Callithrix jacchus: one gene and its partners. The protein of the gene in region 3 interacts with the protein of the main gene of each other region in a pairwise test. Links are inferred from orthologs where the notes say so. Each region holds a gene or a part of one and is shown on either strand. Other genes may lie near its edges.

Region 1 (3,652 bases), on a different chromosome or scaffold from region 3:
GAAGGAAGAACTGAAAGAGGTATGAAACTTCTGAGAAAATGAGCTGTCTTCTCTTACCAGCATCTGCAGCCATCAAAATGTTGTAGGCTTTAGTTGTCTGCCAGTGCCCAAGCTGAGCTGTCTCCTTCATGGTTAGGATTTATTGTTTAGAAAAAACAGCAACATTCTGTTTATAACTCAGAGCATTTGTGTTTTCTGCTGAAGCTAAAATACTCATTTATTCTTTCCTAGAGGAGAAAAGAAAAAGAGAACAATTAAAAACAAGAAAAGCAAAATTAGATATTCTAAATTTCTTAAGCATTTTTCACAAAGAGACTAGGCAATTTTTTTCCTTAAAGAAAATCACCTTTTTTTTTTTTTTTTTTTTGAGACACCAGGATCCCTGTCACCCTGGCTGGAATGCAGTGATGTGATCACAGCTCACTGCAGCCTCACCCGCCCAGGCTAAATAAAGCCATCCTCCCACCTCAGCCTTCTAAGTAGCAGCTGGGAACATAGGTGCATACCACCATGCCTGGCTAGTTTTTTATTTTTTTTGTAGGCGGGGGGGGGGCGGTCTCACCATGTTGCTCAGGCTGGTCTTGAACTCTTGAACTCCTGGGCTCAAGCAGTCCTCTTGCTTCAGCCCCCTAAAATGGTGAAGTCCTGAGACACCATGCCTGGCCAAAAATCATTATTAATTAAAAATGCCAGAGAAGCCTTTTATCTAGACTTTGATGTTTTCTACACTGCAACTATCTCTTGGGAAATGGGAAAAGGGAGAGGGAGGACCTTTGTTATTGTCTCTCTGGTGATATAATTGGGAAACTAAGGCTGGGCATGGTAAAGACCCAGTCTTTACAAATAAAAACAAATTGGAAAACCGAATTGCCAAGTGATTCTGTGGCTTGGTAGAAGGCTGCAGGTGAGACTGCTGCGTTCCTCCTGACTTGTAACGTTGTGTCCTTTTCACTAGACAGCCTCTGGAGAGCCTATGTTGCTACTTGTCATGTTTCTTAGGATCAGCTGTCAAGGACAGATGTAGTTGCTGATCAGCCTGGCTTCTGTATTAAGTAGTCGGTAATTTTGTAGCTATTGATGAGAGTTCTGAGGCACTTAGTTTTTTTGCCCTGACCTGGTGGTTCAAAGGTGTGGGGGCGGGTACCAGGGAGGAGGGGCTGTGTGAAAGTCAGAGCTGCTCTTTTCCCTGGTTTTATCCAGTCTGAGTCTCCCAAGGAGATATTTGGGAGGAGGAGGCGAGTGTGGCTGGATCTAAATATATCTCTTCCCAGCCATTTTGAAAACTGTTTTACCAACTTGTGCTTTTTCCGAAACAGTTTTTTCTCTTTGTTACCAAATTATGCAGGTAGAGGTAGACATTTCTGGGCAGCCTCGCCTAATGGTGTTAGTGGGGGCGGTGTCATCACTTATCTTTCTTTCTTTCAGACCGGAACATGAACATTTTGCAGTACTGCCCCTCTTCTGACATCTGGACCCTCTTTGAAACTTGTGACGTCCACATTCGCAAGCAGCAGATGGTGTCTGTGGAGGAGACCATCTATATCGTGGGGGGGTGTCTCCACGAGCTGGGGCCCAACCGCAGGAGCAGCCAGAGTGAGGACATGCTCACCGTGCAGTCCTACAACACCGTCACCCGGCAGTGGCTCTACCTCAAGGAGAACACGTCCAAATCGGGTCTTAACTTGACTTGTGCACTCCATAACGATGGCATCTACATCATGAGCAGAGACGTCACCCTGTCGACCAGCTTGGAACACCGAGTGTTCCTCAAGTACAACATCTTTTCAGATAGTTGGGAAGCATTTCGGCGTTTTCCAGCTTTTGGACATAACTTGCTGGTGTCTTCTCTTTATCTGCCCAATAAAGCAGAAACATGACTGAATTGAATTCGTAGATGAAAGAAACTGGTTCAAGATTTTTTTTAAAAACGTAGTGTCCCATTGCAAGGGAGACTGATTCCTAAAGGGTAAAGAAGGGTTAAAATAGGTCACATATATACAGTAGCAGCTGTAAATAAGCTTACTTGAACTAATTACTTGAAAACTTGTGGAAAAAAGAGACCAACTTTGTTATTTTTAAAATTATTGATTTTTAAATTATGGGAGCAAATCTATCTCCAGACATGATACTCTTGGGCCAATGACGGATCATCAAAATATAGATTCATTGTGACTGCATGGTAAAGGGCCAAAGTCAATAATTGGAACAAATGGTAAAGATGATTTTTAAAATCTGTTGTATTTAGGTCCCTTTACATATCATTAGCACCTTATGTGAGAGATTTTCTTTTTCTTGCCAGTATACTTGACAAGCATTCGTATTAACATATTCATTCCCTCTTCTCCGTCAAGCATACCCACACATACATCTAGTATGTTTAAAATAGGGTTCTGTGTTCAGATATTTTGTTTGCACTCTACTTCTTAGGAAACTTACAATGATGGAGCCCTACAATGAATCCTTGCTAGTGTTCAGTCCTCCTCAAAACTTGCATAAAAACATTCTCAGCCATTTTTCCAGCCTTCTTTGCAGGTACAAATGCTGGATTAATAGATTGATACAACCTCTTATTTTATTTATGTGGCAGATTACATATTTATGTGGCCACATAGGTTGCATTGCTAGGTGTTCTGTATTTTAAAGAGGATATATTATTTAGAAAAATGAATATATGAATATTTTAAAAAATTGAGTCTTAAATTTAAATGGGAAGGGAAGAAAACACCAAATAAGACATAAATTTGCCTTTGAGAGTTACTTTTATTGAATGTATTTGACTTAGTTCTTATTTCAAGACTTAAAAAAAGTTTACCATATTTAAGTCAGGCAACTAATTTAATCTTAGCTTTGTAATTAATGTTTTGCTTTTGTGGACTAAGGTAAGGACAGCATTTAAACATAGGTGCTGGAGTAAGGAAGAAGCCCTTACAGAAGTGGAATGGCTTCTGGTAGTATTTTTGAAGTTAGGTAAAGTGCTTTACTTGCCTTGGTTGTGAATTGAAATAGAATGCAGCTCAAGCAGTTGTTTTCACTGAGGGAGTTAACAATAAAAGTTTCTGCCAATCAGATCAGCATTCTTCAAAAATATATATACTCATACTTACAGAACTTTTATTTTGAGTGAAAAACGCTCTAAAATTATCTGATATTTTGTAATCCAATCAGTTCAACTGTGAGCTGGATTCCATCATTCTGCAATAACAGCAGGCAGAACCATTTCAGTTAGTGTGTGCCTCACTTTAAGAAAATCCTGTTGGGGGAAAATCACTGTCAGCAAATTCATGCATTCCGCAAACACTTATTGAGTGCCTGCAATATGCCGTCCACTATGCAGATGTAGGACGGGGCTAATTACTTAGAGTTTTTCAGTTTATTCTAGGAGTCACTACAGGGTTTCTTTACAACCATGGCCTCTAGTATACTTAAAATAAGGGTCCACTTATAAAAAGCCTCTTTGCACAACTTTTTGGGAATACTTCTATTAAGTTAAATGAGGTAAGCCATTATTTTGGACATAGAAACAGATCTTTGTATCTTGTCACCAAATAATCTTATCTCTAGTCTACTTATAACTTTGTAAGGGTTTCTAAGCTGTGCCCATTTATTCCCAAATATTAAGCCCTTAAAAAAGTAACCTCTGAAAAAAATCTTC
Region 2 (3,652 bases), on a different chromosome or scaffold from region 3:
GCACAGCACCTGGAACAATGTGCACGTGGGAACATCGCAGGGATTAAGGGAGTAACACTAGGTTCTAGAGATCCCTTACTGAAAAGTCACTACTTAGTACTGAGTTGTCCAACTACTAATACCAACCTCTAGGGAAAGAAACCATAACAAAATGAGAAAAGAGTCAAGGAAAAATTAACTTCTGATTCCACTTAAGAAGTGTCAGCTCCACAAAATTACACAAATTTACCAAAAAGGGAAAGTAAACTAGGTATATGTGGAGTGCTGTTTTTCCTTACCTTCCATCGTAATGGCACAGAGGTATCCCCAGTTACACGGGTGTATTTCATGCTTCTGCACTAAAAAAAAAACTCATCTAAGAAGTTCATTTAACTAAAGAATCTTACCACAACTCAAACACTTACTTAAATGCTCTTGGAAGAAATCTAAACTTACACATCAAACTGGTACATACCTGGGAAAGGTGTATGCAGTGCAGGAGTAAAGGAAACTTTAACTTTCTCAAAATATTGTGGCTTTATTTTGTATGTATATTTATAATTGCATCTGTATATAATTGCATGTATATATTGTATCTGTGATTTTAAAATAGAAAAATAAGGCATTAAAAACCTATACACAAATGCAACCTGAAATAACTGGTTTGTTCACAGAGGTTCATCTTTATAAAGTGTAAAAGTAAGAGTTCTAATTGCATTTCTCTAGGATGTTCCTATACGCCTAGTGAGTTAACCCACTCTCTAACCAGAATTTAATTGTGTTAGACTGGAACTGTATTTGACTGGGAAATGTTTAATTTCCTATAGTAAAAGTTTTTATTATTCTGCTTAAACAAGCAAATACAGAGGCACACCCAAACCTACACAGTCCTATTACTCTCGGCTAAAGTGAAGGAAGTAATTTAAGATCTATTTAAGGTCTTCACTGAATGATGAGTAAGCAGAGAAGAGTAAAATTAAGGATGCAAGCTACAATTCGTATTCTCATTAGGACTACAGATATTAGAGAAGACGCTGGGCAACGCTACAGCAGAAATGCAGAAAGAATACAGACGTGTCATAAAGGGGAGTAGTAGACTAGATCACTTGCAAGGTCCCCTCTCCACTTCTAAATAAGCATGTTTCATTCTGATGAAGGGCTCCTTTTACAGCCAGATTCAGAATACAAATTTAACTCATCAGGAAGTTAGGACTAGTTTGATAAGCAGTGCTACAAAGAGAAAGATCCAGTTATAAATGGTCTCTAGATGAAAAGCCTTGACTGTTTCTGAGGAACGTGGAACAATGTTTCAGTTAAGAGTATGAATCGGCTGAACATCAAGGTATGGTGAATCAAGGACAGATCACTTGAGCCCAGGAGCTTGAAACCAGCCTGGGCAACATGGAAAAATCTTATCTCTACCAAAAAGAAAAAAAAAAAACAAAAAACAAGAATTAGCTCAGCATGGTGCTGGGCACCTATAGGGAGGTGAAGTCAGGCTGAAGTGGGAGGACCACTTGAGCCCAGACACAGAGGTTACAGTGAGTGGGAATTGCACCACTACACTCCAGTTTGGGCAACGATGTGAGACTCTGCTTCAAAAAAAAGTATGAATCCTTAGACAAGTTAAGAGCGTATTATAGAAATGTCAAAATCTTAAATTCTTTATCTTCTTTCTTGTGTTTTTCAAACTATTTTATAAAGCAGGTCAACTGAAAACCTGTTTATCTTAAGACTGTGCATTTTATTGTTATATTACACTAGCATTTTGGGAAGGGGAGATTAGCAGTCAGAGTCATTTAATGTAAAATATATTTTGAAGTAAACTCCAAGTGTTACCAACTAATTTAAACAAGATAAATTGGTAATTATAATATTAATTAGAGGCAGGGCATGGTGGCTCACATCCGTAAGTCCAGCACTTACAGGTCAAGGCAGAAGGATCACCTGAGTCCAGGAATTCAAGACCAGCCAGGGCAACATAGCAAGACCCCATCTCTACAAAAACTTTTAAAATTTAGCTAGAAATAATGGCATGCCAACAGCTCGGGAGGATCACTTGAACACAGGCTTTCAAGCCTGCAATGAGCCATGATGGTGTCACTGCCCTACAGTCTGGGTGACAGAAGAAGACCATGACTCAAAAAACCCAAACCCCAAACTACTCTGTGTTGATAATTTTTTAGCCTACAAATTTCAATGATCAGTCTTCAGCGTATTTCATAAAAAGGGGGAAAAGAATTTTTTAAAAAAAAAGCAGCAAAGAAAAAAGAATTCTAACATTTGAAGACATTCTTTTAACTTCTAACAGCTTCATGAAACATGCTAAAAAGATTTTTCATTATTTATCATAAATATTACAGTTATTGTTTATGCAGCTATCTCAACATTTAGGATATATCTAGATCCCGAGGATAGAATTCTAGGCTATAAACTAACATAAATCTAGTTTCACTTCAACTCATGATGACAGAATTTAAGCTAATTTCATTCCTTTTTCATGAGTCCTACCCACTCCTTTGCCAGTCCTCCAACTTTCCTTTTAATTTCCCGTAAGTTTTCCTTAAACTCCAGCTCAAGGATACACACATAGCCTCTTATTCTGAGTATCAAAGCATTCCATATTCAAGTCACTTCCTATCCTACAGATAGGGCTTTTCAGTGGTAAACAAACCAAATACCAGTATATTCACCATGTTACACATAATAGTCTTAGCTTAGAAGTTATATTACCTTTAATTTATAAATATTTGTTATTTCTATATATATATCATATACATATATCATATACACATATGTATACCTAAATATATATCATATACATATATATTATATATATAAAATCATAAGACATAATTTCAGAATCAGTTAAGAATTAAAAGAATACCAAAATATGAATAAGTTGATTATTACATGGAATACAGACCGGTTCTGAAAATAGAAGTTAATCAAATGCTCTGTTAAAGGATATGTGAAGGTAAATCTGCAAATAAGAAACTAAGATTATGGGAAAGTCAGAAAACTTATTACAGAAAAAAGCAGGTTCGCTGTTAAAGAAAGCACAGACCAAAGTGATTTCATATGTAAATACCTAAAGCAATAAGGCAAGTTAAATTGAGAAGTAACTACAAAATACTGAATAGGTGGAACTATGGAGTTCATTATTGTGGTGAGTTGAATGGCAGCCCCTTTAAAAAATGTGTCCACATCCTAAGCCCTGTAGCCTGTGAATGTTTTCTTATTTGGAAAAAGGATCTTTGTAGTTATAATGAAATTAAGAATCTTGAGATGAAGAGATCATCCTGGATTATCCAGGTGGACTCTAAACCCAATGACAAGCATCCTTCTAAGAGAAAGGGAGGGTGAAATGTGAGACAGAAGAGGCCAGGGCCAGGATTGTGAGGCCAGGTTGAAATGACTCTGGCCCAAGCCAAGGAATGCTGCCAGTCATGAGAAGCTGAAAGACACAAGGAATGGATTCCCCGCTAGGGCCTCCAGAGGGAGTACAATTGAGCCTACACCTTGATTTCAAACCGTTGGCCTCCAGAGTCACGAGACAATACGTTTCTATTATTTTCAGCCACTTAGTTTGAAGTGATCTGTTTTGGCAGCCCAGGAAAGTAACACAAGTACTTGAATCAATGATCTGTACTTGGCAGGTAAACCACAGTTT
Region 3 (3,752 bases):
ATCTCGGCTCACCGCAAGCTCCGCCTCCTGGGTTCAGGCAATTCTCTTGCCTCAGCTTCCTGGGTAACTGGGATTACAGGCATGCGCCACCGTGCCCAGCTAATTTTTTGTATTTTTAGTAGAGACGGGGTTTCACCATGTTGACCAGGATGGTCTCGATCTCTCGTGATCCACCCGCCTCGGCCTCCCAAAGTGCTGGGTTGTTGTTTTTTTTTGAGATGGAGTTTCACTCTGTTGCCCACGCTGGGCCTGATCTTGGCTCACTGCAATTTCCACCTCCTAGGTTCAAGCGATGATTCTCCTGCCTCAGCCTTCAGAGTAGCTGCGATTACATGCACCCATCACCACAACCAGCTAATTTTTGTATTTTTAGTAGAGGCAGAATTTCACCATGTTGGCCAAGGCTAGTCTCAAACTCCTGACCACAGGCAATCCACCCACCTCGGCCTCCCAAAGTGCTGGGATTACAGGCATGAGCCACCGAGCCAGGCCCACAAGCGTTTTTAAAAACATACTTTCTCAGAAAATTAAAACACACAATTGCCCTATGACCTACTCAAACCAAATCTAAGTATATAACCATGAAAGATAAAAGAGTAAGTCCACAAAAAACTTGTATAAGACTGTCCGTAGTAACTAACTGGAAACACCTCATGTGACCCTCAACAGTGAATAGATTAATTATGGTATATACATACAGTGGAAAACTACATAGCAATAAAAAGGAACTACTGATATACGAACACGAAACTCAGACACATTATGCAGAGTGGGGAAAAAAAAAAAAAACACCTTACCCAGAAAAATACACACAGTACTATAGACTCCTCTAATTTACAGCACCAAAAAAAAAAAAAAAAAAAAGGCGAGGTGGTTGATGGAAGGTAAAGCTACTAAAACGACTGGGAAAAGGCAAGAAAAAACTTTCTAGTCAATTACAATGTTCTATATCTTGATGGGGCTTGGGTTACACAGGTGTAAGCATTTGTGAAAACTCATGGAATTACAACCATATGCATTTCATTGCATATCAAAATTAGGTCACAAACGTAAAAAATGAAGTTGAATATGAGCAAGTAAGTTCACATCGCTGAAGTGACATGTACTGTTGTCATCTACTGATACATGCAACTTACTCTGAATTGCTTCCCCAAAATAAAATGGACTTATAACTAATTACAATACAGTAAAATGCTAACTGTAGATGATGGCCATGTGTGTCCACTGCCAAATTCTTTCAACTTTTCTGTATGTTTGAAAATACAAAAATGGTAAGGAAAATTTTCACAAGCATTGGGAGACAAAAAAAAAAAAAAAGGTGATAATTCAGATGGTGGTAAAAGTTTCTGTTATTTGATGTTACACACCTCACTGCCTCACAAAACACACTACCTTTGGAATTCGCTAAACCAACACCCCAATCACTTACTATTCCTGAGGAAACTTATAGGTACGTTTTCGGAACTGTTTATTTCCTGTCACAAACTGTTCACATTGAGATCTTCAGCGATTAAGTCAATAATTATGGAAAATACGACATATTCAACAATACACTAAAATTATTTGTTAAATTCCACCAAGATTCTTAATTAACAGCAAGATTTGTATTCCTGAACAAAGCTTAAGTACCATTCTCCATTAACTCCAATTTTCTTTTATTTGGTTGCAACCGCTAATATCAACATTGCTCTCGCCCCTCTAAAATCAAACAAATACCTACCGAATGATTGGCATCTAAGAAACGACAAACATACTAAAAGGGAAAGAGCAAGTCATCATCATTCATTCATATTTCTCCTTAAACCTAGTACTATTACTATTAACAAGGAGCTAAAAACGATTTCTACGTCATAATTTTTTTTTTTTTTTAAGAAAGCTTTCAAGGTGGGAAAGATTTCAGGAGTTAAAATGCAGAACTAAATGTATACGTGCACCTCACCCCAAAACCTACCTTAACAAACAGGCAGGTAAAACAATGAGGATCCTATCCACCCTTTTTAAATAATTCATTAAACAAAATCGCAGCTTGAGCTAAGGGAACCCTCGCCCCCGCCCAGCCTCCACCCCGCCCGGAACCAGGCGGTGGGTCCCTTTCCTTTGTGAAGAGTTGGAGGGGAGGCGACTGAGGGAGAACTGGGGGAGGAAGCTGAGGGGCGACGGATGCTAGAGGAGGAAGGCTCCGAGAAAAGCAGCGTCGGCCGGTCCCACAAACAGGCCGCGCGGCAACGCCACAAACCACTGCGGTGTCCCAAGGCGCAAACCCACGAACTTGGGGTGTGATCTTATTTGGGACGACGCCCGGGAGAATGGCCGAGGGCACCTCGGAGGGTCTCCCCATACCCTTCCAAAAGGTCTCCAGAGGCTGCAGGCCGAGGTCCTGCCGCCACCCCCACCCCGGCCCGAGCCCCAGACGGCCTCACCTGCTGGACGGAGCTATTCTCGGGCACAGCAAATTCCTCCTTCTCCTTCGGAGTCTTCACGGTGACTTTCATAATTTTGGGCTCCGCAGAGGCAGCGGCCGCGGAGGCGCCGGCACCTTCGGCTCCGGCGGCGCTATCCTGGGAGCCAGGAGGGCCGCCGCTTTCACCACTCTCGGCCATGGCGGCGGCGGTGGTGGCGGCGGCGGTGACTCAGGCGAGCAGGAGGGAGCGGGTGAGCGAGGAGGAGCCGGCAGGCCTGGGCAGCGAAGAATGCAGAGCACCTCGCCTCAGTAGCAACGGGCGCAGGGCCACCCTAACGGGTGTGGGGCCTCAGAGCTCAGTGCAGGCTCTGGCGCAGGCCCGGGTCAGGCGCTAGGCAGCCGCGGTGTGTTCAGGCGTCGCTCGCTCACATCCACATCCGCAGCAGCCACCGCTTCCTCCTCCCTGCCCCTTCCCCCACGTCCCTCCACCGGCCCCGCGCGGAGCACGCCGGGTAACGCGTCTGGCGGCGTCGCCGAGTCATCCCCGTCTGGCACCGCTTTGAGCTCAGCCTACGTGCGTTTTCCTTTCCCGCTCCATTGCCCAAAGTGTAGGCGAAGCCAGCGTGAAGGACTGAAACCAAAATGGGGCGGGGTAGGTCAGTTCATTTTTTTTTTTCCACTCCCTTCACCAAAAACTAAATCACAGTTTGTAGTTAAGCACTGTAACGGCGCGCAGAGATGACGTCACGGTTAGCGAAATTACTAGAAAGAGACCACTGGGCTCTGCGGTCGCTGATGCGCTTGCGCGCTCGCGGTATAGGTAGTCTTCCTACCTTACCTCATGCCCGGCTGGCCCGTGCTCATCCTTCCGCGCCTTCACTGTCGCCTTGGCCTGCCTTGCCTTTCTGCGTACTCTGCGTTCCCCGCTGGGAGGAGGGTCTGGTGATAAAATAGCGGCGAGGTATTTTGTTATTTTAATACATTTAGAGTTTGATATTTGGAGGGCTCGTATTGCTCTGTGCGGGGGAGTTGGGGTAAAGGCCCTCAGCTCAACGAACGGAAAATGGCGTAGACGCCCGTGACTGCCCTGCGCAATCCCGCGGAGTCAATGCTTCATGGCCAGAGCTTATATACTGCCCTCAGGTCAGCCTGGTTTGGTCAGACGATCGATCAGGCGACCTGTATTGACAGTGGCCTGCTGCTGTCATGACAGCGACCTCTGCTGCTGTGATGACAGCTGTGCGCGAGCCCTCCCAGATTCTCTGTGAACTCGAGTTCCTACAGTGTGTGGAGCCGAACAGGGTGTCGAGGAGTGTCCACCCAACTGGGACAATTAAATATAGCTAAGGTG

What was found.
Region 1: the proteins of UBQLN1 (region 3) and KLHL42 interact in binary tests that used the Homo sapiens proteins (3 or more experiments, as listed by UniProt). The two-hybrid records come from large-scale screens. The link is inferred for Callithrix jacchus from reciprocal best matches to the Homo sapiens genes UBQLN1 and KLHL42.
Region 2: the proteins of UBQLN1 (region 3) and AGPAT5 interact in binary tests that used the Homo sapiens proteins (3 or more experiments, as listed by UniProt). The two-hybrid records come from large-scale screens. The link is inferred for Callithrix jacchus from reciprocal best matches to the Homo sapiens genes UBQLN1 and AGPAT5.

What each region holds. Positions count from the first base shown.
Region 1 is NC_133510.1:43,423,008-43,426,659, reverse strand, and holds part of KLHL42 (kelch-like protein 42), read left to right. Parts: intron 1-1,425; coding exon 1,426-1,877; 3' UTR 1,878-3,652. UniProt on the Homo sapiens protein: Substrate-specific adapter of a BCR (BTB-CUL3-RBX1) E3 ubiquitin-protein ligase complex required for mitotic progression and cytokinesis. The BCR(KLHL42) E3 ubiquitin ligase complex mediates the ubiquitination and subsequent degradation of KATNA1.
Region 2 is NC_133514.1:9,548,109-9,551,760, reverse strand, and holds part of AGPAT5 (1-acyl-sn-glycerol-3-phosphate acyltransferase epsilon), read right to left. Parts: intron 576-3,652; coding exon 455-575; intron 339-454; coding exon 279-338; intron 1-278. UniProt on the Homo sapiens protein: Converts 1-acyl-sn-glycerol-3-phosphate (lysophosphatidic acid or LPA) into 1,2-diacyl-sn-glycerol-3-phosphate (phosphatidic acid or PA) by incorporating an acyl moiety at the sn-2 position of the glycerol backbone.
Region 3 is NC_133502.1:99,308,440-99,312,191, reverse strand, and holds the start of UBQLN1 (ubiquilin-1), read right to left. Parts: upstream 2,715-3,752; 5' UTR 2,653-2,714; coding exon of another isoform or gene 2,601-2,652; coding exon 2,421-2,600; intron 1-2,420. Other genes in the region: uncharacterized protein LOC103792470, read left to right, coding at 2,599-2,652, 2,715-3,053. UniProt on the Homo sapiens protein: Plays an important role in the regulation of different protein degradation mechanisms and pathways including ubiquitin-proteasome system (UPS), autophagy and endoplasmic reticulum-associated protein degradation (ERAD) pathway.